Linked DNA regions of Saccharomyces cerevisiae S288C. The protein of the gene in region 1 purifies or fractionates together with the protein of each later gene. This does not show direct contact. Each region holds a gene or a part of one and is shown on either strand. Other genes may lie near its edges.

What was found.
Region 2: the proteins of NUP157 (region 1) and NUP84 purify together in Saccharomyces cerevisiae (affinity purification with mass spectrometry; 6 studies listed by BioGRID). This does not show direct contact.
Region 3: the proteins of NUP157 (region 1) and NSP1 purify together in Saccharomyces cerevisiae (affinity purification with mass spectrometry, with the first as the bait; 2 studies listed by BioGRID). This does not show direct contact.

What each region holds. Positions count from the first base shown.
Region 1 is NC_001137.3:366,722-373,850, forward strand, and holds NUP157 (Nup157p), read right to left. Parts: upstream 5,293-7,129; coding exon 1,117-5,292; downstream 1-1,116. Other genes in the region: RTT105 (Rtt105p), read left to right, coding at 81-707; MAM1 (Mam1p), read left to right, coding at 5,605-6,513; RNA export factor GLE2, read right to left, coding at 6,727-7,129.
Region 2 is NC_001136.10:249,760-260,810, forward strand, and holds NUP84 (Nup84p), read left to right. Parts: upstream 1-1,806; coding exon 1,807-3,987; downstream 3,988-11,051. Other genes in the region: CYK3 (Cyk3p), read left to right, coding at 1-1,479; IWR1 (Iwr1p), read right to left, coding at 4,236-5,215, 5,286-5,367; YDL114W (short-chain dehydrogenase/reductase), read left to right, coding at 5,845-6,771; ATG20 (Atg20p), read right to left, coding at 6,874-8,796; TRM3 (tRNA (guanosine(18)-2'-O)-methyltransferase), read left to right, coding at 9,156-11,051.
Region 3 is NC_001142.9:361,260-372,545, reverse strand, and holds NSP1 (FG-nucleoporin NSP1), read right to left. Parts: upstream 6,763-11,286; coding exon 6,762-6,762; intron 6,644-6,761; coding exon 4,173-6,643; downstream 1-4,172. Other genes in the region: NUP192 (Nup192p), read left to right, coding at 1-3,798; MHP1 (Mhp1p), read right to left, coding at 7,101-11,286.

The DNA.
Region 1 (7,129 bases):
AATAAGAAAGTCATCGCCAAACAACACGACTAATTGACCATTAAAAGGAACAAAATACAGTCAAAGAGTTTAGCTCGGAAATGTACAGCAATCATAATTTAAATTCGGATGACTGTTGCTTCGATTGGAATGAAGAGAAGGCCGCAGAACTACAGCGTACAGGTGTTTCTTTTGACCGGAGTTTAACACCTCAATCTTTAAGAACATCTACACGTAGACTATCAGAAGAGAACAAACAACAAAGTGGCACTATGCACATTGACACTTCCCCTTCTGTGGTTTCAGATATAATATCAAGTAGACGAGATCGTTCACAGGATTTTTTTGGGCCTCATTCTTCATCCCCTATTGCCCCTTCAGAACGACAACGAGCGGATCAGAGATCACGGTTGGAGTCCATGAGATTAACTAGACGTCGAGACAAAATGACCAAAGTACGCGGTGGCCTAGAAAAGATGGAAGAAATGATCATGCAAGGTGAACACCTTAGAGAAATGCAAAGGCTAAAGCAGGAAGCACAAAAGAACGCTCTACCCTCTGACATGGCTGAATATATGGAATGGCAAAACAACGAGGATTTGGAAGACGATGAGTTGCTTGCCTTTATTGAAAAACAGGAAACTTATAAAAATGAATTAGAACACTTTTTGAACAATGCTAATAAAAATGTTTATGAGAACAACTCGTATCCGAACTCTCATACGTGATGGCATCATTGCTATTACAGAAATAGCCCTAGCCTGTCATATTTAACTGAGCTGTTGAGTATGGGCATCTTTCCGCATGCGCTAACTACGGAGCTGGCTCTTCCCCTTCTATTAATCCTTCTGGCAGGAAGCGAAAGCGACTGATGTCGTTTCTACGTTTCTATGTATATTCTATCGCGTTTAAGTGTGTATATTTTGAGCTGCTCAAGTGAAGGGAACGTATTCAGAATAACTAGATTCTCTGCCATACGATCAACTAACTGTTTACCATATACAGTCTCAGTTCGCTACGGTTAGCGTACCGTAAAACAGCAGTTTACATTCACTATATAAAGGATGACGTAAGAATTTGCCTACGTATTAAAGAAAACTTCACAATCAAACTGCTAAAATATACAAATAATTCCGTTCATTTCAGGCCATGATGACGATCCTTCACATAATCTTGAACGGGATCGGTATTCGGATCATATTTCTCCAATTTTTTGATTTGTTCTGGCGCAATTGAACCGCGTAAATCTGAATCACTTTGGTACCAATCTTTGATCAACCATACCATTTCTTTTTTTGCCAATTCGACATTTCCTTCAGAGTTTTCTATGATACGACTTAGAATGTAATAGAGTTTTAAATGAGAAACTCCGGCAAGCAAGAACATTGAACATACAGATCCATCAGCAGCTGAACTTTTATCAATGAATGATTCTAATATTTTATTCATTAAGAAATGTACAGGGAAAACAACGTCCGTATCGCGTGTTGTTTTACCAATTCGAATTAGTGTGTTGGATATCGAGGAAAGAAAGGATTCTTGGCCTACACTTCCCACGTCAGGCGATGGAGCATTTTTCATGCTATCGAGCAATCGATTCCACTCTCCTTGAATGACTTTTTCATCTTTGAATTGAGATACTTTGAAAATTCTTAGTTTTATTTCGTAGTAATCTAATGGGTCTGCACAATCATTAAAGAGATCTGATAATGGGAGCACCCTTCCATTTAGTTTAAGTGTTAGTTGCTTTCTATAATCTTCGTCAATCCTTGTTTCATTCCTTACCAAATTAAGTAGGTCATCCTGAATGGAAGCTATGTCGAAAAGTTCGTGGATGTTCTCAGATAACTGGACCAGTGCCGGCTTTTGGTCGAATGACGTTGAGCTATCACAAAGACCGTTTGCTCTTGCTAGGCATTCGATTCTTTCACTTAATTTTAAGTCAAAATCAGAACTAGCTAGAGCATATAAAACATCAGCTGCTTCAAGAAAATGTTCTTCTTTGAATAAGTAGAACCACAACAGATTACTAATTTCTAGAGATTTTTCTGCTCTTTCTTTCAAGTACGGCAAAACAAATTGAGAATCCAAACGTAATAAGTAGTCTTGTCTTTTATTTGCGACAAGCCAATCATAAAAGCAATAATGGAAGAACCTGTTATTGCTATTCATTATCACTGAGTAAACTCTTTTCTTCAGTGACGAAGCTGGTGAAAAAATAGATATATTTGCAATTGAAGGGGATTGTTCGATAGATGTATAGTCATCCACGCTTTTGACAATCTCAAAAATCAAAGTGTACACATTTATGCGTTTGTCATAAAAAACTTTTCTTGGATCGGCAGTATTACAACCTCTAGACACATACTCTTGTGCTTGGTTTCCTTTATCAATTTTATCTGCAAATCTAAGTAGAAATCCAACAGTCTTAGGCTGGTAATTAAGTTTTACCATGATATCCACCACACGTCTCAATTCACATAATTCTATATTCTCGGCACACCTTTCATAAAGGTCAATTGCGGTATCTAAATGGTTCCTTGATATTTTAGAATCTATCATTTCAAACTTCTGTGCTGCTTCTAAATGCTCTCCTGCCCTGTAACACAAAATGTCTGCACTATGACAAAAAGATCCAAAGCGTTCCTTTAAAACGTTCACAATATAATCTGCCGATGTGCCGCTTGCAATATTAGCGTTTACAACTTCTATTAAAATCTCTTTTATTAATTGTTTGGTTTTTGCGTTAGGGGTAAACAAATCATGGAACTTAAGATCAAAAAAATACTCACGTGTCTTGGAGTCATAAACTCCCCCTGCACCCATCAATGTATTTAGCAAAGATTTGAAAGCATCAATATCTTCGTAGAAGACATTTATAAGGGAAAGCGCATCCTTAATAGAATTTATTAAGAGGATAAGAGCATTCATAGCAATAGACTCAGCATCGGATGCAGTTATAGCATTGCTACCTTTCGGAGGCACAAATGAAACGAAGGAAGGACGGTGGATGTTGAAGAAATCTGCCAAAACAGATATCGATGATAAATAATACTCAACCTGTGGCCTAGTTATAGAAATACCAAAAGCATCCATTTTTTCCGTTTTGGAAGCCCTTTTAAAAACAAAGACCCTCTCTTCCCATATTTGGCTAAATAATCTTGTAATTAATAACGCAGAACCATAAAACCTGGGAGATAGTACTATACCATCACATTCACCAGATTTATCGAATAAATTTTGTGAGATTGGCGGCACGCTGCCACTTTCTCTAGAACTTTTCGGTTTTATTTCAACTACCCCAGGTATACCGGCAGAGAAGAAGGCCAGGGCACTTGATTTAATATGCTCTGACTTATTAAACTTACAAGCTAAATAAAGTGCCGTAGAGCAAGCCTCAGATAAACCATAACTGTGAATAAATGGCAAAGGATTTTCAATCAAGCTTTCGAACACTTCGTCGGGCGTGCGATAGCAATAAATTTCTAAGGCATTGCTTGTTAAAACGGCAACTTTTAATGGTTCTGCACTGTATTGTGAGGCAAACACATTGGCGTAACCTTGGGGAGTAGAAGTGTAATTAAAAGATCTTGTTAAGGGAACAATCTCTTTAATTTCATCTGTCGTATCGAGTAGTGCGGTATTCTCTACATATTTACCATAATTCTTTAATATACCGTAATCTGGAGCACTAACGTAAAGTTTGTGTTCCTCTTTATTTTCCAGCAAAGCTTTATTTGTAATACCTTTAGATAGTTCTCCGGAATTAGCTCTTTTCCTCACGCACGTAAAGTATATACCTGGTGATATTATCGTACTAGCGCAAGTGGTATTGATATAAGTTGAACTAGCTTTTTGTGTTGAAAGTGGGCCTGTATCATGTGTGTTTAAGGGGTGATGACCGATTATGAAAGATTTATTTTGCTCGAGGGAGCTAGATATACTGGTAGGAGGAAACTTTACAGAGTCTAATTTTAATGAGCCAATCGATCTCCTAGAAATGGAACCTTTGAAATACAAGCGTACCCCAGTAGTAGTTATAACAGCTAAGAATAAATCATTGTTCTCACACATAGAGATAGAAACAATTTTGGCAATCTTGAAAGCTCGATTACTGAGTAGAGGTGAATTTTTTACACCCAATGCATTCATTCCACGCCTGATATGAGCAGCATCAATGAGGACCGGTCCTACTAGCCCGTTACTAGTAATTAGGTAAGATCTGACAATAGATTTCGTTGATAGAGTATGTAAAACGCCTCTTGACTGGTCAACTTCGAGCTGTGATATAGTTTCTTCTTCGGTACCTGCATCCCCTTCTAGTACTTTTTGTATCAACTTTCCTCCGGGTATGCTAGGTATTAGTTTTGTAGGTAGTAAATTTGCTAAGTTTGACTTTGTCAAACATATTTTGTTACTCTTGCTATTGAATAGGTTCTCCGAGCAGTTATATTGTAATTCCCACACGTTGACACCATCAGTCGCACCAGTGAAAAATATTTGTCCAGTCCTTTCGTAGCTTATTATGTTAGAAACGTTGAACCCAGTTACATTTACTTTTAATCCTGTGTTAAAGATATTCAACTCATGAGTACGGTCATTAAATGATATTGTCAAAATATAGATATCAAAAAGAGTGGCGACAATCAATAAATTTTCAACAGAAGAAACAAAAGTGTTTGGGCTAGGCTTAACTAGTTTCACTTTTAAAATGGTGTGCTCGATTTCATCGATACAGTGGTATTCTGAACTATTATTGATATTCCACAAGATCAATTTATTATCAGAGGTTATCCAACAATAGTTCAGTTCGAGAAAAATACCCATATCACTCTTTATTTCGGTATTTGAAACTTGTGATAAAACTTCATCTGGTATATTTGTCACTTGTTGTCTTTGGAAGGGGGTAAATGCACCTAATCCACCGACTTCATCTGAGAAATTATAATCCAAACCTTTACTATAATAGTCTGGATTATCTAGTATTGGCGTATTTCTGTCCCTAAAGCTCAAATCCTGGACAAATTCACTAGCCAACTGCAACGGTTCAGAGGAAGTCAACCCGCTTATCTTGACGTGTGTAGTTACGTCACGAAGTTCTGATTCAATAGTATTTCCAGCCTCGCCATACTTGTTTAATACATCTTTCCTGGTTTTTCTTTCGCTTAGGAAGGAACGGCTCGACAGGTTGGGCTTACCGTTGTTTTGGTCATCTCTTGGCCGATTCCTTAAGCGATTTCCTCCTAAGGAAGCCGAAGCCGTAAACGTTTCGCGATCGTAATCAATCCTCTTTTTTAGTGGAGTTGAATACATCACAATTGAAATCCGAGCTGTAGTTTTTGTGAAATGTTTCTCCTACAAACAGATTTTATTCTTAATTTCTTCTATTGATTTATAAAGCCATTCAAAATTCAGATGGAAATTATTCATTAGAAATCTTTCCTCTCCAAAGTCGGGTAATACTTTCTATTTTGTGTCACTAATTTTATAATACTTTAATCAGCAAATACTATAATAATAGAATAATCTCCAGACGTTCATGGAAAGTTCAACAATGGAAACATAGCCATATTTATTTACTAGCAAAAGCATTTTCAGAGAATTTTTTTGTTTCCTGAAAAAAAAATGAGGGAAAAAAGAACAATTTCAAATAAAGACACAAACTATCTCAAATTCCCAAATAAACTCCAAAGATATTCCCGATTCTTGAGCAGGAAGATATCCAATACCAGCCCAGAAAAGCAACCGAAGAAGAACATAAAAGAACACTGTTTATCGAGTTATCATAAAGAACACTCGGTAAAACCAAAGCAAAACTCCGGTAATGTTGCAGCAAAAGAAGACAAAGATACGCAGCATTTACAAAATAATGTCGCTAATGAAGAAGCAACGGAATGTCTAACAAGAAGTAATTTGAAAAAGTTACAAGAGAAAATTTTCGATAGAGAACTTAATGATATTGCCTGTGATCATTGTCTTTGTAGCACAGAAAATAGAAGAGATATCAAGTATTCACGACTTTGGTTCCTTTTTGAGTTGGAAATGAGTGAAAACTGGAATGAAAATCTCCGCCTTAGTTGCTATAATAAATATGTGTATTCCGCAATTGATGAGTCGTGGAAAATGGAGAATATTCTACTTAAAGAACAAGAGAAGCATTATGAATATTTTCCAATAGGACAATTACTGATACCCAATAATATTGACTACACTAATAAACAGAAAAGGAAGGAAAACATTGAAGACTTAACAATTGAAATTGATAGTATTATAGAGACAAACCATCAAAAGAAAAGATTTTTGCCGCAAAGTGTCCTGATAAAAAGGGAGGATGAAATTGCATTTGACGACTTTCATTTGGATGCACGAAAGGTTCTAAACGATTTGAGCGCCACTTCTGAAAATCCATTCAGCTCTTCACCAAATACAAAAAAAATTAAATCAAAGGGAAAAACCTTGGAAGTGGTTCCCAAAAAGAAAAACAAAAAGATCATAGGTGCTTTGGAAAGAAAGCTACATATAGATGAAAATTAATGAAAGTATTGTCTGCACATTACCACCGGTTAAAACGGCGACTCAGTGTAACCTGTAAAACTTTTTATCAATTTTGAATAGGTATAGAGAGATTTTCCTATTCTCTCCAAAAGAACCTGTATCATTAAAAAATATATATCTTTTACATATTGCAAATATAAAAAATTACAAAAGTAATGTGGTTGCGCACGGAAGCTATCCGAAGAACGAATTTCACCTTTTCTTTTTCTCTTTAACCTCTTCATCAGTTGTGGCATGTAGCCTAATGACGTTTGGATAGTCGGGTCTGTTGCCCATATGGCCTTGATGCCAATCATAACTTAGAGCGTACGCAAATACGCTACCATTCCTATTGAAGCTGCATACAGGAATAGATGCTTGCAAAGTAGGATAGCCTTTCAATCTATGCCTTTGATTCTTATCCCAAAAATTGAAGGTACCATCACCACCAGCCGTAACAAAAGTACCATATAATGGATGAAATGCAATGCTATTTACAGGATACACTAGAGATTGACCATTGGAGCCAGGTGCCCTATTAGGATTGGTTTGACGATGGCATTTAAATGAAAAGCCTGATTTTTTCTGCATACCATCATCGATATACCTTATGGAG
Region 2 (11,051 bases), on another chromosome or scaffold:
AAATATGACAAACATCCGAGGTATATGAGAGCTCTCGAAGAAAATCGCGACTTGATCTTACATCCTCAAGATTCGATTTATAACGGGCTAAATACCAATGAAGTCAAAGGTAATACAAAGCCCGGTTTGGTCGATGTGGAACTGGCCGAATTAAACATAGAATACATTGATAAGATGACTTGGAAACGGTGTATTAGAGACGGAACTATGACATTAGACAGTTGGGCTCAAACAACTTTTTCAGCAAGATACTCAACTGTTCTGGAAAAGTTAAGAGGCATATACATTTTTTGCACAGAGATGTTTGCTCTGACTGATGATAATGGAACGTCAGATTTTTCTGCGGAACCCCAAAATTTAGAGAAAATACTATACAGAAAGCATTGTACGCCATATGAATTGACATGGCTTTTCAAGAAATTAGCAAACTCATTGGGAATCACTTGTGAAATTGTTATAGGTTTCCTGAAAACACCGAGTGCTATAAATTGGGAGTTTAAGTATAACCACTGCTGGTTGAGAATACTGGTTAACAAAGAATGGAGATTTATTGACGTTATTTTAGGAAATGTAACCAACCCAATTCATGAATTTGTAAATAACAGAAAGATCAAGAAAGCAGAAAATAGCTACTTTTTGATGGCACCATTAGAAATGATATACACACATATACCGCCTAGGGAATTTGAGCAGCATATTGTTCCTAGTATCGATCAATTATCTGCATTGTATCTGCCATTAGTTTTTCCATCTTTTTTCAAAAATGAGTTAAAGTTATACAAATTTAGTACTGCACTATCATTTTTGGAAGATTCTGAGATCTACGAATGCTCCTTAGAAATTCCCAATGACGTTGAAGTCTTTGCATCCGTGGTTATTCCAACGGATAATGAAGAAGCTTCATCTGCGTACAGGAATATGGAACTCGCACTGACCCAAATCAAAAAGCAGAAAGCCGAGTCTGGTAGAAGAATTGCTCTAATCAAAGCAGTCCTACCACCCAATGTGAACAAAGGTTCACTGTACATACATTCAGGTGTAAGAGGTACGCAAACGAGTATTGCCAATATCCATCCACTGTCCATGATGGTCCCATTAACACATAAGGGAAGTAACATGAAATACGAATTTGTGATCAAGATACCCTCAGAAAGCATTCAGAAGATTGAGCTATACATTGTCGAGCCACAGAGTAGATATCTATTTGTTGGTAATGAGTACTCATTCGAAGTTATTCAAAGTCCCTCCGATGGTATTGTATACAGCAGTGATGAAGGGCCGAACCAAAATAGGAAACAACCAATGGCAATAAAATCACCCTCAGGAAGAGTTCATGAGCTAGTCAAGAGCGATCCCCACTTTCCTTATGGTACCTGGAAAGGAAGCATTAAAATCAAAGAGCCCGGCGTCTGGAGCGCTTTAGTGATCGCTGACTCTGGTATTGGGTGGTCCGTTTTTGCTGAATGGTTGTGCGTATAAACGTTTTTCACAAATTTTTTTACAGCGCTATAATCTGTATCATTCAACATACATTCTACTCAGGAAGGTGAATTTCATAACTCATATATGGCTATATAGTACTTATTATTTAATGATTTATCCATTGCATTCATAAAAGCTATGCTGGTCCAACTTTTTCGTATTTAGTGATGTTTTCGGTGAAGAAAATATGAAAAATTAGACCAAATGCTCAAATACATACGACATTTGAATTGTTTAGGCAAGTCCGAAAACGAGGTATATCAGCTAATTCAACCTGAAAACCAATTGAGTGCTACTTCGAAGTAAAATACATAGCCATTTCAAATGGAATTATCCCCTACTTATCAAACAGAACGCTTCACAAAGTTCTCAGACACTTTAAAGGAATTCAAAATTGAACAAAATAATGAGCAAAACCCCATTGACCCGTTTAACATCATAAGAGAGTTTCGCTCAGCCGCGGGGCAGCTTGCGTTAGATTTGGCTAATTCTGGAGATGAAAGTAACGTCATATCTTCTAAGGATTGGGAACTGGAAGCTAGATTTTGGCATTTAGTAGAACTGTTACTGGTTTTCAGGAACGCTGATCTTGATCTAGATGAAATGGAACTTCATCCTTATAACTCGAGGGGTTTATTTGAAAAGAAATTAATGCAAGACAACAAACAACTTTATCAAATATGGATAGTGATGGTTTGGCTCAAAGAAAATACATATGTGATGGAAAGACCCAAAAATGTACCAACTTCAAAATGGTTAAATAGTATTACTTCTGGAGGATTGAAAAGCTGTGACTTGGATTTTCCTTTACGAGAAAACACTAATGTCCTCGATGTTAAAGATAAAGAAGAAGATCATATTTTCTTCAAATACATTTACGAACTAATTTTGGCCGGTGCGATTGATGAAGCATTAGAAGAAGCTAAACTTTCCGACAATATTTCAATTTGTATGATCCTGTGTGGGATACAAGAGTACTTAAACCCTGTCATTGATACGCAAATTGCAAACGAATTCAATACCCAGCAAGGTATCAAGAAGCACTCTTTGTGGAGAAGAACAGTTTACAGCCTTTCGCAGCAGGCCGGTTTGGACCCTTATGAAAGGGCGATATACAGCTATTTGAGTGGCGCTATTCCCAACCAAGAAGTTCTGCAATATTCGGATTGGGAGTCTGATCTGCACATACACTTAAATCAAATTTTACAAACTGAAATTGAAAATTATCTTTTGGAAAACAATCAAGTAGGTACTGATGAACTGATTTTACCATTACCTTCACACGCGCTAACTGTACAAGAGGTGCTTAATAGAGTGGCTTCAAGGCATCCCTCAGAAAGTGAACATCCAATCAGAGTTTTAATGGCATCTGTCATACTAGATTCTTTGCCATCAGTTATTCATTCATCCGTGGAAATGTTGCTTGATGTCGTCAAGGGAACCGAAGCTAGTAACGATATTATAGATAAGCCTTATCTTCTGAGGATAGTTACACATTTAGCCATTTGCCTTGATATAATTAATCCAGGTTCTGTTGAAGAGGTTGATAAGTCCAAGCTCATTACTACGTATATCAGTCTTCTGAAATTGCAAGGCCTTTATGAAAATATTCCAATATATGCTACTTTCCTGAATGAGTCAGACTGCTTAGAGGCATGCTCTTTCATATTGTCTTCTTTAGAGGACCCCCAAGTAAGGAAAAAGCAAATTGAGACAATAAACTTTCTAAGATTACCTGCCTCAAATATTTTGAGAAGAACCACACAGCGTGTTTTCGATGAAACCGAACAAGAATATTCACCATCTAACGAAATTTCCATATCTTTCGATGTAAACAACATTGATATGCACTTAATATATGGCGTGGAATGGCTTATTGAAGGGAAGCTTTATGTGGACGCTGTCCACTCTATCATTGCCTTATCGAGGAGATTTTTGTTAAATGGCCGCGTAAAGGCTCTCGAACAATTTATGGAGAGAAATAATATTGGAGAAATATGCAAGAATTATGAATTAGAGAAAATAGCCGATAACATATCAAAGGATGAAAATGAAGATCAGTTTTTGGAAGAAATAACTCAATATGAGCATTTGATAAAGGGCATAAGAGAATATGAAGAATGGCAAAAATCCGTTAGCTTGTTAAGCTCTGAATCGAACATTCCTACTTTAATAGAGAAATTGCAAGGTTTTTCAAAGGATACATTTGAATTGATCAAGACATTTTTAGTAGATTTAACTTCCTCTAATTTCGCGGATTCGGCAGATTATGAAATCCTGTATGAGATTAGAGCCCTATATACTCCATTTCTACTGATGGAATTGCATAAAAAGTTAGTGGAAGCCGCAAAGTTGTTAAAGATCCCAAAATTTATTTCGGAAGCCCTGGCATTTACCTCATTGGTCGCTAATGAGAACGACAAGATTTATTTATTATTCCAATCTAGTGGAAAGTTAAAAGAGTATCTGGATCTCGTTGCTCGCACAGCAACCCTTTCGAACTGATCAATTAATGTATTGCAGAATAAGTTTATATTTTAAGTAAACAGCAATAATTTTATGCATTTCTTCTATCTATTTCAGAAGTAATTGACGTGATTTTTTATAGTTTTGCTTTGAATCTTTGTGTTTCCACACCGGAGAAAAAAAAGTTCATGAAGTGAAAAAGCGGTTAAACATGAATTTTCTACTATCTAAAGATAAAATTACAGATGCAGTTACTTACATACATTGAACAGTTTCTGACGGCAAATTTAGCTTCTATTAATTTTTTTCTGTAGCTGATGAAAAATTCTGTCCCTATGATGCGCCAATGGGTCATCAACATCCGTCGGAAAAAATTCATTTCTAGGGTATTCAATATCATCTCCTTCATCAGAATCATCTTCGTTATCACTTATCTCTATTTCACCTTCTTGGCCATCCAAGTCAATGAAATTCGAGGAATTTATGGATTTCAAGACATCACTTTTTCCTCCAAGCCTGTTAAAAAGATCCCCGTACTCTTCCTCCACATCGTGGTACCCATTAGATCCCTGAATTTTATCGTCATTCCAAGAGGAAAACCTGCTCTTATTAACCCCTATAACAATCTCTTCACCCAATGCAGCTATATCCTCTCCTTCGCTACCAAATAGAATAGATCTATCATCATCTTCATCCTCCGGATAATCATTTTGGTAATAGTTTTCGTCATTAGAATCCTCATCGTCTGAACGGGCTTCATTGGGATCACTTTCTTCATCAAGAGCCAAATCTATATGCTCAATAATTTTCACAAACCCTATATTTTTCTCGTTGTTATATCTAGCAACCTCATCGTCATGAATTTTCTCCAAATGGTAGATGTCAAAAACGTAATCTAAACTGGGTAGTGATGCAATTTTTGCAGAATCCCCAGTAAAATATTTCCTACTTGGTTTTTTTCTTTCTGTCTTTTCTACACCTTTATTCAACTTTAAATAGTCATTCACCATTTGATTGATCTCTGGCGGTAACCCATCGTCATCTACAGTACTTCCTTCTGCTGCAAGCCGCTGTTGTGATTTTTCATCATCTGAGTCTCTACGACTTTTTTTTCTTTGTTCCAATACAAAATGTCGATGATCTTCATGAGCCAGTTTTAAGAGTGGCGTAGAAGACTCTTGCTCGGATTGATAGCTTTCAGAGCTCACAGTCTTTGATAATTTAAATATGAACTTCTGCTTCTTCACTCTTTTCCCCTCATCAATTACTGAATTGTCCCAGATGAACTTAGTTAGTCAAACGCATTTTTGTTATATCGGTAGAATAACAACACATACATAATGCCTGCACAGAATCCTCATCCCTTCTTCTCTTTACTCTGATAAACTCAGGTGCCGTTGTGGTACTAATAGTGCTCATTCCCGAAATCTTGTATGCCTACCTCAACAAAAGCTATACCTCAGAGAGCAGTTTTATATACCATCTCTTGTTCTCATCAATAACTTGTCTTGAGCATTACACAATTTAAATCCCCTGTGCCGACACAAACAAGAGATAACCCGGAATCAATATTATCTGATTGGGCTCCTAAATATCGCATCTGTGGACTTGAATCCACATGCTGCGAACTTATTTGAAGCAACAATTACTTCTGTTGGAAGCGTGGTAGTGCCAAATCAGACTTGCTCTTTAGTTTTCTTATGTTAACGCTTTACTGCCTTTTTCTTCTATATTTTTGAACGTCAATATGTAGCGGGCGTCAGCAGAGGAACAGAATTTGTGACACTTCTTGAATGAACATTTCTCATATCTGAAACCGCATCATCAAAAGGACACCTCAATAGAGATTCAGTGACATATTTAACATAGTTTTATGGGTAAGAAATATTATTAATTATGGTACGCAAGAATAAAATAAATAGAGCGAGTGGAACTACAAAACACCTCAAGGATTTTCCATCAGTCATCCTAAGTCTGCCCAGCTACAACCCTTCCATCCTTTCTAAAAATGCAACTGCACTAATAACCGGTGGTTCTAGTGGACTCGGATTTGAACTTGCAAAGGAACTTTCCAGAAGAATTAATAAAGTTATTGTGGCAGATATTCAATCATTTCCTACTTTTGCTCAGGTAGAATATAATAACATTTTCTACTATCAATGCGACATAACAAGTCTAGATGAAATTAAAAATTTGAAAAAAGCTATTGAAAGAGATCATGGCAACATTAATATAATTATAAATAATGCTGGTGTTGCTCACATCAAAAAGTTAGAACATATGACAAACAAGGAGGTAGAACAATTGATCGACATAAACTTAATAGGTGCTTACCGAATCATCAGTACATTTGCAGAAGATATGATAGACAATAGGGAAGGCTTTATAATTAACATTGCTTCAGTCCTCGGAGAACTGACTCCTGCAAGGCTGACATCGTATGGTGCATCAAAAGGAGCAATGATTGGTTTTCACAAGTGTATGAGCAGGCATTTCAGAAGTTTGTCCACGGAATGTAATAAAACTGGAATAAAAACACTACTGGTGTGCCCGGGAAAAATCAAAACTAATATGTTTATTGATGTCCCTACACCATCTAAGTTATTGGCTCCTGACATCATACCTTCCCAACTGGCACTAGCGATAATCTCTGCGATGGAGCATAATCATCTGCAAACACTAAATGCCCCATATTATGTGAACCTAGTTCCCTTTTTCAAAACTTTGAGTTGGCCATATAGGCATCTCTTAAAACATTTCAGTGGAATGGACCATGTAACGTCAACCAGCCCGCGAGCAATAAATCCGAAGAGAAGTGCATAATATTTTAGTCTATTTAATACATTTGACGTTATTTGATCTTCACGTTGTTTATATATATATATATCAAGTATGCTATAACGCTAAAAAAAAATGCTCATAATACTATGCAAAATCTTGATGTCTTTTGACTTCTTTCCAAATTTCTAAATTTTGACGGGCATAATTTCTCATATATCTGGAATAATGCTTTAAAATTTCTGATAAATCTACTTCCCTTTCTTTAGAAAATTTAGGTAGCTGGTCATTTTTGATGACTTTTGAAATGACCTCCAAATCATTCTCAGTAACTTCCAATGATTCAGACAGTTGTTCAATTTCTTTCTTCAAATTGATACTTGCGGTATGCGGATCTGTTTCTTGATACTTCACAGAATCTTTTACCATTGATGCCAATTTGTTAAATCCATTGAATAGTTTGCCACCATATGATTTCCCACCGCTACCTGTATTATTATTAGGGCGTTCCAGATTAATAGTATGACTTTTAGACATTTCGTTGTCAATTATTTTGTCAACATCCTTATATTCATTGTTTTGCGCTTCCAGCTTCTCCAACTGTGCTCTTTTGGAATTCAGAGACTTTTTAATCATTTCATTTTGCAGGTATTTCAATTTTCTGTATTTGATCAATTCTCTTGCAGAAGTTGCCATATGAACAGATTCATTTAAAGGCTCATTTATATTGTAGTATAGTCTTCCAACTAATTTTTCTAAAGAAATCGAGGACCCCGAAAAGGCATTGCTTAAGTAAGAAAGCTGTTCGGCCAATTCCCCAACTTGAGCCTGTTCATGGGCAAACTGTGCAAATACCTCACCGATTTCATTGTAATCCGATTTCAAATCGTGATAAGTCTTCGTGGTTCGTCTATTATACTTATAAATCCCGTTATCTAACAAGTTCTCATATTGCTTGTAATCCTGTTCAATATTAGTAAACGACTTACTTCTTTCCTTATCCATTTTTTTGTCGTTGGACTCCTTATTCAACAATAACTGTGACGAGGAGCCCGGTATTGGTAACATGGCATGAATTCTAGTGGTGTTAGTGGGATCTAGTGGATTACACTGGAGGATGCTCTTCGGTAAAGATGAAAAAGTGGACGAACTGTTAACAAATTCATGCCAATTATGGTTATTAGGATCCAAAAAATCGGTAATTATAGATGTTTTTGTGATTTCTTCGTTCGTCAAAAGTTTGTTCAAGAACTCAGTGAGCATTCTTATCCTATGCCGTATTAACTTTTCATCACTATTATTGACCGACGCATGTATCACAGACAATGATAGATCTACTGAACCAGAACCTTCTGAGGGCAGCAAATACTTTGAACTCGAACCAGTTATTGACTTACCATAATTCTTTATTGACTGCTTTTCTGGAATCGGCGGTATCAACGTCATAGGAAACAATCTTATCAAGATACTTCTCAAACTCTCGAAATCGCTGTAACGTCTCTGAACGGTAGAATTTTCAAACTGAATAACATAGGCGATGTAGGCTCTTCCTTGACCTTCGGAAACTCTTTTCGCTTCAAGTATGTGTATCCTAGCGGACTTCTTTCTATTACTTACAGAAGGTTCTTCTGACGCAGAGGTCTCTCCGTTCATGGAGTTAATACTTCCACTAAGACTTGTTCTACATGTTTCTGCATTCGATTCTTGGTTTAAAGGCAATAATCCCTCAGAGTCATCCTCGTAATCTTCATTCGGGTTCTTTAGGTTATGGCTTCTCATACCGGGTATTTCTAATAAAGCTGATTTTGTGAATCCTGTTGGCCCCTCCTCCATGAATGGGTTGTCTTTTTCTAACAGGGCTGTGTGTACTAACTCAGTTTCTACTTTGTTATTGTCCCCCTTTCCAACCTTACCCTTTTTTGGGCTCTTTTTTGGCGATCCAACTCCATTCTTAGAAATTTCTGCCTCTGCCACATACTCAGTTGTCCCATGAGGTGGTTCAGCCTTTCCTGTATTCCGAGTTTCCGAATTCAATTTAGCATTTTCTTGGACATCATTTAAGTCTGACATTGTGTGCTGTAGAAGACAACTTTTCTAGATGGTATGTTCAATTGCACCACCAGTATTCGAGCTAGTCATCTCTTCATTTTGGAGATGACTTGCTGTAAATCGATAAATATTGGCTTACTCAATAGCCATATCTTAAAGGGGGCACAATGGGTGAGTTGTCGGGTAAGGGAATGTAGATCACGTGAATGAAAATTCAAGTGTTTTTCGAAAAGTTTCACCATGGCGATGAGCAAGATTGAAACAGCACTATTGTAACTATATAATTGCTAGTAAGCAAATAAGCCAAGCCTTATTAAAATCCGGTGAAAAGAATTGTTTAACGAACGTTACAAACTCTATACCTTTTTTTTACCAGCAAAATGGTTGGAGGTGCTCTCATCTGCAAATATTTACCACGCGAAGAGCAACTAAAGCTTATATCAGACTTGATTCAGAATGACAGCTTAGAAGAGGTGCTGGAGTTGATTGAAACTTCGCCACTGGATATAACGACGGACAGCAACATTGAAACACCAATCTTTGAAAAAATTACTGAGCAGGTCATTGCGTATGCTAGTATAGACGGTGAAGCCAGGGAAATGTTTCGCTCTTCGAGGGCTGAAATGAACAAGGCGCTAAGAACTTCTGCACAATTACTATGTTGTTTACCCAGTGTATGGCATAAATTTCAGGTGTGGATGAGCTACCGGTTAAATGACATCATTAGCGAAAACTATAAACATCTCTTCAATGACAACTTTGGAAAAAAGATTGTACAACCATTTTTCGATTCTTTTGCTGAGGAACAAAACGCTAATATCAAGCATGAAAATCTGCACTTAGATATCCTTAGCCTGCTTCACTACTTAGAAGTTGTATATTTATTTGACGAATGTAAGAATGGTATATCGTCCAAATGCCTAGATTTTATCATTGTTCCATTGTTAGGCTGTAATTCGGAAGAGATTGCTGATTCCTGCTCCAAGTTAATGAGATGGCATATCAAATATTTATCGAAATGCTGCAATACCGATAGTAACTTTGATAAGCTCATTTGGACATTTATCAAACAATTGTACGCTGAAGGCTCCCAACAAGCTTGGAAGCAAAAGAACAGTTTATCTTTTCTCCTAAGATTCCTTTTAGCAGCAGAGTTGTCTCCTGAACTTATTACTTATATAAAGACCGATGCTTATTGGAGGCACATTCAAACAGAGCTGGATAATGATGTGCACGAACACAGAAAATTGGCACTCTCAATTCTTAAATTAACAATTCAAAAACTGTCATCTCATGGTATAACATTGCAAACAACATTTTATAAATGCAATGATCTAGCAAATATCGAGATGCTGGGTAGCTGGAAGAAATTCACCACCTTATATGAAATGATTGCTCTGGACACATCATTGAATCAAATACAAGCGGCCAAACAAGATATAATAAAAATTTTTGATAACGAGCATTTACACCATAGTTGGGGCCTTATCTTGCTTTCTACGGGATTGAAATCATCAATGGAGAGTGTCAGAAAATACATGATGACGTTAATGTTCTCGATTACAAATATGTCAGCATTCTCTTCAAACTTGCCATTATTGACAAAAACTCTTCTTCCAGCTGCAATGTCCGCTCATTATTTTGATGTAAAAGGTGTCAGTTGTCCCCATGGTGAAAAACTTTCATTATTTGTCAATAACTTACTTTCCCAAACAACAGAAGGCATATCAGATATATTATTTGAAATTTTGAAATTATTGGTGGAAAAAGGGACCTCTTTTGACCCTTCTAGGATATACTTGTCCTACGGTATCTTAGTTTTCTTCCAGAATAACAAACAGAAAACAATCAACTCTGACCATTTGAGTCTGATCAGGAAATTGTACGATTTTGCAGCCGAAGAAGAGGTTCTCGAAACTACAATCCAAACAATTTACTTGAAGTTCTTACTGTACATTGATCCATCTGTCTCCGCATCTGAATTATTGTTTACATTAGTTTCACACATTAAGTTAAAGGGAGGGACATACAAATATGTTGAGCCTCTTTTTGAAGATTATAGGGATCTTGCCGTTTCTCACTTTGACGATTTGCAAGCGAAAGAAAACTTGACGACAAACATCGGAAAGGATACTATTTTTGACCTCTTAGCATCTATCATCTTCGATTTCAAGGATATTGATATTACTCCCGATTTTTTAATTGAAGTTGCGAAGTCGAAGCAAGATATACCCGTTTACACTTCAAAGGCAGTTACTTTTCTAACTCAGCTACTT
Region 3 (11,286 bases), on another chromosome or scaffold:
ACTACTATAGTTTTATCCGATCAGACCCAAGAATTTTTCCTCTCATCCTTTGATGATGTGCTTCAAACTATTATTACAGATTGTGCCTTTTTGCTTACAAAGATTAAGGATGCTGAGGAAGACTCTTTGTTGTCCGGTGAAGACTTAACTTTGGATGACATCTCACTAAAGGCTGACTTAGAAAGATTTTTTCTGTCAATATATTTTTTCTATGCATCAAGGCCCGAATATTCATGTACTTTCTGGTCTGATAAGGAATCAAACGCTTATGGTTTTATTGAGTGGTGTTCGAGATGCAACGACAACTTGATGAGGTCTTGTTTCTATTTGATGGTTTCTAGCTTGTCCTTTGGTCCTGAAAATGCCCTGAATGTCTATCACTATTTTGGCGAAAACAGCTCGATTTCATGGAAAAACATTGCACAGTGTCTCAGTGACTACACTAAGAAAATAAGCAATTTTAACTCGAGCCTCCATAAGAGGCAGCAGTTTAGTGAGTCAACTCATAACGATATCGATTCGACTGCGGTAGCCTTAGAAGAAGGCTTAAATGAAGAAGCTGTAATATTTCTGTCTTCTTTATTAACTTTAGTTGGATCAGTTACATACCAGGTTGACGAGGATGTAAAAAGCTCGCTATCGAAAGTTTTCTCAGATGTCCTATTCGAATTCACCAAGATAAATACACCTCTCGTAGGCGCTGCTTTCAAGGTTATAAGTAACTTGGTTCCAAAACTTGAATCTTCTAGAACAAAATTTTGGTCTTTTCTAGACTCTCTAATTTTCAAGGATTCATCGCTGAATTATTCATCCGAATCTTATAGAAATGCTTTTACAAACGTGTTAACAAAATACTCTGACGTTTTGGGGTTTTTACAACTCTTCCATAATCTGATTTCTATTCATTCTCGTGAAAATAATAGTGAATACATGGTTTTTGGCAAATTGGCATTTCCAACAAGATTAGGTCAGGGATATAGGAAGGTAGGTATATGGCCATATTTTGACTACATTTTCAACGACATTTTAGCGCACGTGGATCAAATTGTTGATATCAGAAATAAAAGAGCCGTCCAGCTTCCTATTTTGAAAATTATCTATACGGGCTTATGCTCTTTTGATTACAGTGTAATTTTAAATTCTATTCCTGCAGCTGCGAATTTGGATGCTTTGGTGGATTGCGAAAATTTCTTCAATTACGTTCAAGAATGCCCAGCTATCCCCATATTCAACTATATTTTCACGGAAAAGATTTACAAAAGTATATTTAATGTAGTTGATGTTGGTGTTGATCAATTGTCCATAGAGTTAGAAGGTGGCAAAAATCAGGCTGAATTGTTGCAGTTAGCTGTGAAAATTATCAATAAAGTATTGGATTATCAGGAGACATACGTGGAAGAATTATTTCCAATTGTTAAGAAGCATGGCAAGACGGATTATTTCTTGCCAAAGAATTATTCTCTTCACGGATTACGTTCATTTTACGATGCAATTTTTTTCAATATTCCACTTGTTGCACACTTGGGTTTATACGTCGGGGTCGATGATCAAATTTTAGCCACAAATTCACTGCGTATTTTGGCGAAACTTTCAGAACGCTCTAATGGCTCCGTTGCGTCTTTGTCTAAGAGAAATAAGTTGTTAACAATATTCGATTCCGTAGATGAATCAGCCAGAATAAAGGATGCATTTATTACACAATTGGAAAGCTCAATAACCGACGCTGGTGTCCTTGCTTTGAAGTTAGAACTATTAGATTTCTTAACATCAAATCTTTCTAATTATAGTCGAACGATGACTATTTCTCATCTGTTATTAGGTTTCCAGGTCTCAAACGTTATATCCCTGGGACCTAACCTAGCAACATTTATATCTTCCGGAACCTCATTACTTGATTCCCTCATAAGCGTGTTGGAAGCTTCATTGAACAGCATTACTAAGGACAATATCGATTATGCACCTATGAGATTGGCTACAGCAGCACTGGAAATTATTCTCAAACTATGTCGTAATCCGTTAACATCTGGTCTACTATATTCATACCTAATCAAAGAAAACTTTTTTGAGAGAATAATGATCCTCGATCCACAAGTGACAAGGTTCACGACATGGAACGGCTCTCCTTTTGACAATTCTACAGAGGAAAAATGTAAGAACTTCATCGAGAGCGAATCCGTTGGTGCATTTCTGTCATTCTTAGCCTACAGGAATTATTGGACACAATATTTGGGTCTGTTCATTCATAAAATTTCATTTTCGGGCACGAAATCAGAGGTTTTAACATATGTGAATTACTTGATATCAAATACAATGTATTCGGTAAGGTTGTTTTCTTTCTTGGATCCATTAAACTATGGCAATATCTGCGAACCAAAAGAGACGTTATCAATTTTCACCAATGTTCCTTTAAATTTGGAACAAGTCACTCTTAACAAGTATTGCTCCGGCAATATCTATGACTTTCACAAAATGGAAAACCTTATGCGCCTGATTAAAAGAGTCCGTGCTGAAAGCTTACATTCTAATTCCTTCAGTCTCACTGTGTCAAAAGAACAATTTTTGAAGGATGCAGATGTCGAGTGTATAAAAGCAAAAAGCCATTTCACGAATATTATATCAAGAAACAAAGCATTGGAGTTGAACCTATCTGTGCTGCACTCTTGGGTACAGTTGGTGCAAATCATTGTTACTGATGGAAAATTGGAACCATCAACAAGATCAAACTTTATTCTGGAGGTTTTTGGTACAATTATTCCGAAGATTAGTGATTATATTGAGTTTAATATAACTTTTTCAGAAGAATTGGTTTCTCTCGCCGTTTTCCTATTTGATATATATAACCGCGATCGTAAGTTGATTACCGACAAAGGCACGGTAGACGGCAGGCTATATCAGTTGTTCAAGACATGTATTCAGGGTATAAACTCCCCACTCTCCTCTGTGGCATTAAGGTCCGATTTCTATATATTAGCAAACCATTATTTGAGTAGAGTTCTAAGCGACCAAGTAGGGTCCGAAAAGGTTCTGCAGGATTTGAGACTAGGAAGTAAAAAATTGGTAGAGATCATATGGAACGATGTTGTTTATGGCGAGGGAACTAGTAGGGTTACAGGTATATTACTATTGGATTCACTTATTCAACTGGCTAATAGAAGTAAAGAGAATTTTATATTGGATTCACTGATGAAAACTACAAGACTGCTCTTAATAATACGTTCGCTGAAAAATACAGATGCTTTGTTAAATTCTACTACAGAGCACATAAACATTGATGATTTGTTATATGAATTGACAGCTTTTAAAGCCACTGTATTCTTTTTAATACGTGTTGCCGAAACTAGAGGTGGAGCTAGCGCTTTAATTGAAAATAATCTATTCCGAATAATCGCGGAATTGTCATTTTTAAAAGTTGATCCTGATTTGGGTCTAGACCTTATGTTTGACGAAGTCTACGTTCAGAATTCCAAATTCTTAAAGGTTAACGTCACCTTGGATAATCCGCTACTAGTTGACAAAGATGCTAATGGTGTTTCCTTGTTTGAGTTAATCGTTCCTATATTCCAATTGATATCAGCTGTTTTAGTGAGCATGGGGAGCTCAAACAAAGCTGTTGTTCAAACGGTAAAGGGTTTACTGAATACGTATAAGAGGCTAGTGATCGGAATATTCAAAAGAGATCTTTTGAGGGAAAAAGAAGATAAGAAAAATTCGTCGGATCCTAATAACCAAAGTTTAAACGAAATGGTGAAGCTAATTGTGATGTTATGCACATTAACAGGATATCAAAATAACGATTAAGTCATTCATTATCACTTTTAAGAATTACTTTTAGGAATCGATTTCATTTTGCAAAATATTTGGTTGTGTACTAAGTACTAAGAAGAAACTATCACAAAAAGTGGCTTTTAGTTTCATACACTACAGAAGCCTTTCTTTGGTTCTGATTTGGTGCGTATTTACTGTCTAATGAAATAAAAATCCAGGTCGTTTACAGATCGGCACGACACATTACAAAAACTTCTTGAAAAAGGAAAAAAACAAGTATGATTGAGGTGTTAAATTAATTGCAGGTTCTGAACCATCGCGTACATTTTGATACCTATATATAATTATTTAATATAGCACATCCTATGTCAAATAAGTGTAGAATAGAGGGAATTTTTTCTTTTAGATCATTTCTTTATCGAGTTGATTTGTTTTTCCAGAGAGGTGGAGTTATCGTCTAGTGACCTTAAAGCGTCGAAATGTGAATTCAAGATTTTGATTAGTTGAATATTTTCGTCTTCATTGTTTATATCGATGTTAGTGGTTTTGTTGAATGTATTACTAACATTGTTGATTTCTACTATTAGAGAAGAAAGATTGGATGACAACGAGTTTAAATTTTCGTCCAAAGTCTGGGCTGTCTTATAGGCCTGTTGTCTTTTTTGGTCATTATTGTTGGCCGCAGCACCTGAACTTGTAGACACAACATCGGACAGAAGTGCCTCTGTCTTGGTTTCAAAATTGTCTAAGAAGTTTTCTAATTCATCCTGTTGCCTCTCGATATATTGTAGAGATTGATCTATTTTGTTTTGACTATGTTCCGCCATCACAGCATCTGAGTATAACTGACTAATTTGTTCACCTCCTTTCACTAGTACCTGATCCCAACTATTAATTTTTTTGGTATACTGTTCAAAATGAGAGGCCGATTCTGTTAGTTGGTTAGTCCATTTCGTTACTAAATCGTCCAGTGTTTTATTGTCGAGAGAAACTGGCTTCAATTCTACTGGTTTAGAATTTAATTTCAAGCTATCACTTGATTTGACATCTGCGGTTGACTTCCCCGTAGAAGATTCCTCTGTTTTCTTCTCATTATCTTTTTGAGCACCAAAAGTAAACGCTGGCTTGCTCGTATCACTGGATTTCTGTTCTTCGGGTTTAGCACCAAAGGAAATGGCAGCCTTCGCCCCATCGCCTTCCTCCTTTCCTGTAGGCTTAGAACCAAATGAAAAGGCTGATTTTGATTCATCACTTTCTTTCTTTTCGTTAGCCTTTGCTCCGAATGAGAAGGCAGGCTTGGAGACTTCATCATTCTTCTTTTCATCGGGTTTAGCACCGAATGAGAAGGCAGGCTTCGAAGAACCACTGTCCTTTTTTTCATTCGATTTAGTACCAAATGAGAAGGCAGGCTTCGAAGAATCACTGTCCTTTTTTTCATCCGATTTAGCACCAAATGAGAAGGCAGGTTTAGAGGCATCGCCATCCTTTTTCTCATCGGACTTTGCTCCAAAAGAGAATGCCGGCTTGGAAGTTTCATTGTTATTCTTTTCCGCGGGCTTGGCACCAAAGGAAAATGCTGGCTTAGCCGTTCCATCTTGCTTGTCTTCATTTGATTTGGCACCAAATGAGAAAGCTGGTTTTGAGGAATTATCATCCTTCTTTTCTTCTGGCTTAGCGCCGAATGAGAAGGCAGGCTTAGAAGTAGCACTAGCTTTATTTTCATCCGGTTTAGCGCCAAAAGAGAAGGCAGGTTTAGAGGCATCACCATCCTTTTTCTCATCAGACTTTGCTCCAAAAGAGAATGCCGGCTTGGAGGTTTCATTGTTATTCTTCTCCGCGGGCTTGGCACCAAAGGAAAATGCTGGCTTAGCCGTTCCATCTTGCTTGTCTTCATTTGATTTGGCACCAAATGAGAAAGCTGGTTTTGAGGAATTATCATCCTTCTTTTCTTCTGGCTTAGCACCGAATGAGAAGGCAGGCTTAGAAGTAGCACCAGCTTTATTTTCATCCGATTTAGCACCAAACGAAAAACTTGGGGTTGTGTTAGTTGTCTTATTGTCGGATGTTGCAGTACCAAAAGAGAGGGCTGGTTTTGCTGGTTCATTAGTTGTAGGTTCGGGTTGCGAAGCTCCAGCTGGGTTAGCACCAGCTGATCCTGAACCAAATGAAAGGGAAGGCTTTGCAGCCTCGTTAACCGTTTTGTTTCCACCTAGTTGTGAACCAAAGGAAAATCCTGTAGTGGGAGCTTGAGCGTCTGTCTTATTACCGACACTTGAATTAAAGGAGAAAGCAGGCTTGTCTGGTTCTGTTTTTTTATCGTCGTTAGTGGTTGCACCAAAGGAAAAGGCTGGCTTATTCGCATTTGCGGTAGCGCCAAATAAGTTATTACTTGTGTTAGCATTACCGGTCGAGCTAGGAGTTGTGTTATTGCCGCCGCCAAAATTCAAACCGCCGAACGCAGGTTTTGTCGTATTGCTATTAGTACTGTTATTGAATAAGGATGAAGAACCAAATGTATTTCCTCCAGCAGTTCCATTGCTCTTCGTTTGTTGAGCACTGGAAGATCCAAAAAGGGATGTCCCTGCACTATTACTACCAAATGTATTAGTCGTAGAATTGTTGCTGCCAAAAACGTTACTTGTGGGGTTACTGTTACCGAATGCAGTATTACCAGTGTTATTGCTACCAAATGCAGGTGTGATTGAAGAGTTTGCATTGTTCGTGTTATTTGGCGCAGAATTGTTGAAACCAAATGTTGATTGACCTGTTCCGAAGGCGCCCGCACCAGTAGAGGAATTCTGATTGGTGGTGTTAGAGTTATTGTTGGCAGTCCCGAACGAAAAGGGCGTTTTGTTTTGTTGAGGTGTATTGAAGTTCACTAATATTAAAAATCATGTAGTTTACAGGTTCGCAGGTTTTCGTTAGTAAATAGGAAGAAATTGTATAGGAGATAAAATTTTGATCGGAAGACAACCGTCCAATGGAAAGAAACATACTTTTTCAAAACGATCAGAGCTTATTACTGTTGGACTGTGCGTTGCAATGGCTCTCCAATAGCGTCTTCAGGTATCACAATCGACACGTCAAATATCACATCTGAGTGGTGCTAACACCATTTATTATTTTCTATAAAAGTTTGAAGAAAAAAACTCATCGGACCCGTCCGGGTTGTCTCAAGTTCTACAAAAGCATTATGCTTACATTAATAATAATAAAAAATACAAAATACTTAAAATAATCATACATGAAAGGATACGTAAATGTCTGAGGGCTCCTTATTATATTTTCGAAACCCAATACAAAAAAGAGATTAAAAAATTAAGAGAAATCCCTTATTATTTAGTACTACTGTTCCGCGCATCCTGGATTTTGTCTAGCACATCATCATAAGCAGCGTCAATGGCATTTTCCTCTGCATTGTTCATAAATTTATCAAATCCAGGCGCATCGGTCGGAGGAATATGAGCATTATCGTTCGTTCTAGAAGTATTGGAGCCTGTGGATATCGGATCAGTGGTAGGGGACGCATTAGCACTTGAATCATTGGATTGGGAGGACTGTTGTTCATCCTTTGTTCTGAACGCGGTCTCTTCTTGGTTTCCCTGTTTTTTGAAAATATGATGCAAGTGGTACCCTTGGCTATGCAGTTCATCAATGACGCCAAGGATAGTAGAGACGTCATTCTTCAACAGAAATTCCTTTATCTGGTCACTATCTAAGGATTGTGCGGCACGATTTAAGATTTCTTTGTCCACTGGCAAATCGCCACCACCGACAAGCTTTTCGTGTTCTAGTTCTCTTTTAATGATAGAGTATTTGTTTTTGATATCAACTTCATCTCGAAATTGTTGATCATTTGCTGGTACGTCTTCGTGATTTACGTTGGAGTCGTCACCTTCTCTGAATTCGACGGCATCTTCTGCATCTGGGCTTGACTTTTCGACTATTGCACTACCGAATGGCATAAGCGCAATATGATCTGAATTTTGTAATATAGATGAGCTTAGTAACATTCTTTGACAGCTTTCGGAATTGGGTTGTGCTTGATTTCCCCCTTTCCGACTTTTTGAGACGGCCTCTGGTGATTTCAAAGTGTTGTTATGTCTTTGTTTCAGCAGGTCACAGCCTCTTTCCAAACTTGCCTCTATGAAGCATAATCTAATCAAAGCTTCCTTACCTTCCAAATTTAATTGTCCATTCAGTTTTAAATCAAAAAGATCATGAACCACTTTACTAATCTTGATACGTGCCAACGCGATTTTGGCCATGAAATTCTCAACCATTTTGTTGTAATGTTCGGAATTATCCGCTTTTTCAGTTAATAAAAGTGATAGTTGGTCCTGTAGGCTTGAAAATTGGCTATCTTTGATATCTTTATCGTCACTATTAACCCTTTTCAACTCCCCTTGAATATTTCTTAAAGCATATAATGAAATTTTTTCCTTAATGTTCTCTGGCATATACACATAGTCCACGTCCAAAGTCATCAAAGATGAACTTTTCCTCACCGCCTCTGCTAGAGCTTTAGACGATGCCAAATCCAATTCCGTTCCTAACATGGAAAAATAATTCAATCTTGAACACATGGGTAATATTTCGGCCAGCATCACTACACTCGTGGAACTTAAATTATTGTAGTCGATATGCAGACGGACAAGATTAACAAAAACAGGTAAAAAATCAATCAGCGTCGGAACACAGTGGGGGAAGATGGCAGGATTGTTCGATATATCCAAGAATTTTAAATTTTCCAAATAACATAAAACGCTTATCAGTTTTAAGACCTCGTTATTCTCAAAAGTGTCGTGTTCGTTCACTCTCAAATTTGTCCCATTTAGAGATAAAAATTTGAAGACGTTTTTCTCGTTAGCTTTTTGTATTTTGCCTAAAACAGCATCGGTGAAAGAGGAAAGTTTGCCATTCAAATCGTTAAAACCAACGTCTAGACCTGTCACTTTTGATTGAACCATCCACTTGGCCAAATCATCACATTGGCTCTTAGATAATCCATTATACGCGAGGCCCAATCTCTCGGTTGCTATACAAGCAACGAGGATGAAGTTTTTGAATTGTGCAGAATTCATCTTGGCCCCGGAAATGACAATTTCCTCCAAACCGCCCATGAGGGCAATAGAAGCTGTCAAAAGGTCCCAGTTCATGTCGGATCTATTTTCCAAGTTGCATTGCATTCTCAGAATTTTTGACTTCAAAGAAGATTTAGAAGGCTTTTGTACATTTGTCTTGATGGAAGGGACCATTGTCAAATCAATAGAGTGCAGAGACTTGGCCTTGGAGACAAAATAACACAGAACTTTCCATCCTTCTTCATCCAAGGGGGTGTTTCTTAGAGAAAGTTTTTGGAAATGCTGTTTGTAAACCAGCGAACTCAAAATTATTCTAAGCATTTGCACGGTTAATTGTACACCGTCCAACGAAAGACATAAAACGGGAGCAATGCTCAAGAAATCGCTGAACGACCAAATTTCCACCATAGAAGGTCTTGGGTTACGTAACTGTAAGATGGGGATAGGGTCCGTCGAGCCCTTTTTCAATTGCTTCAATGTGGCTGGTATGGGCAGAATTTCTCGCAAGTGACAACAACGGGTATACACAATGTCGTGAGGTATCTTCAAAGAAGGTGGGGGAAGAATTTCTCCTTCATCATCTGCGTTCGTACCGTTGGTATCACTGGACACCATGGAGGCCAAAGAGGATGTGGAAGCACCCCTTCTTGAAATCATTGGCTTATCGATGGTCAAATGGCTGGCGGTCTTACTGACAGTGACTTCTTCTTCATTGTTGGTCACGATACGTTTCAATTCGTTAGGTGCCTCTTTGGCTCTGGCCTCTGCAGCAGCTTCTGCAGCGGCCATAACGATGTTTCTCCTTTGAGAATTGTTATCCTCCTCGTCGTGTGCCTCCACTTCGTTCTGCTTTTGAGGGGCCATCTCCTCTTTACTCTTGGCATTTGCGTCGTCTTCCTCGGGATTTAATAGTTTTAATTGCCCGGTCCCCCCAACGACAACACCCAAACTAGTCGATTCCATGATTTTTTTGCGTTCTTGCGGAGTCAACCTATGAATGACAACAGATCCATTAGGCTTCACTTCCACTTCACCTTTACGAGGGTTTTTACTGCATATTTGTTGTGGAGGATCGTTGAAATAGGTGTTCGTAGCAAAGGAGACGTGTTTCAAGGGCCGTATATTCTCGAGGCCGGGGACGGTGGTTATCTTTGAAGGGTCGAACTCCATTGAACTAGAAGACCATAGGGACGTCGATGAGGTGTCTGGATTATTGACGTTTGCAGAAAGGGAGGAGGCATTGGTGCTGTTGTTGTTGTTGTTCCCATAAGAGGTAACTTTCCTTAAAAAGGCGCCGAATTTATGAGAAGAAGGTGTCTGATTATTATTCTGCGCTGACGAGGAAACGTCCGAATTGGAATCCACTGTGTCTACTATCGATGCGTTGCTTGGATGCTTCTTCCTGAAGGCGGAAGGCAATTTGGGTGCGTCGGGATGCGGCGGAATGGGTCTTCCCTTAGCGTCAAATTTCTGGTGAGCAAGTGATTTGGCAGGTTGTGGTTTGTCGTTATGTAATGAGAACGAAGCGCGTCTATTTTTCTTGGTTGTGGGAGACGCAGATGACTTAATAAAGTTCCCTTCTTTGAAGGCGGCTAATTTGTAATCCTTAGATTTGTAGTAGCGCAAGAAATCCATTAATCTAGGATCAGGTCGAGAGCCGCCATAGTTATGATCGTCTGCGGGGGAAGTTCCGTCGACTTTACCCTCTTCTGGTGAGTGGTATGTGCGCATACGGCCATGGTAGTAGCTTTGCGGATGATTTTCGTAATACACTTCTGATTCCGTCTTGGATCTTGTTAACGGTACCACAGTATCGTTATAAGAGGGTGGAGCATTGTACTGCAAAGGCGGTGGTGATTCCGCAGATATGGTAGCCGTTCTTTCTCTTCTTATGGCCGCGCCACGGTCCACGTGAGTCGGAGAGGGTGAGCGCTCTTTCCTTTCTCGTTCCTTCTCCTGTTGTTCCTGATCCTTCTTCCTATGGCCAAACAGACTCTTAAAGAATCCGACCTTCTTAGGTGCAGGAGCATCTTCCGTGTGATGGTGGTGGCGGTGGTGGTGATGATGTCCGGAGTCAGCCTCAACGTTAGACAGGTTAGTCTCCACCACTGACTTCGACCTACCCCTAGGGGGAGGAATGTTTGTGGGAACGGATGTAGACCCAGCGTTAGCACGCTGATTATCCATTAGCAAGCTCGCAGCTACGGAGTGACGGCGTCCCTTATCGTTTGAAGAAAGAATGCTGCTGGAAGAGTCTACAGACGTTTCGAAAACGGGCGGGCGAGCAGTGTCCATCTGGATGTCAGGAGCCACACTGTTGGCCTTGGACTCGGATTTCCCTGGTCTGGAGCTCTTGCTGGTGGAGGCACTGGGCCTGACCAACCATCCAACGTCGATGCAGGGGATTCGGTGCTCCTTAAGCAACTTTTGCGTGTCC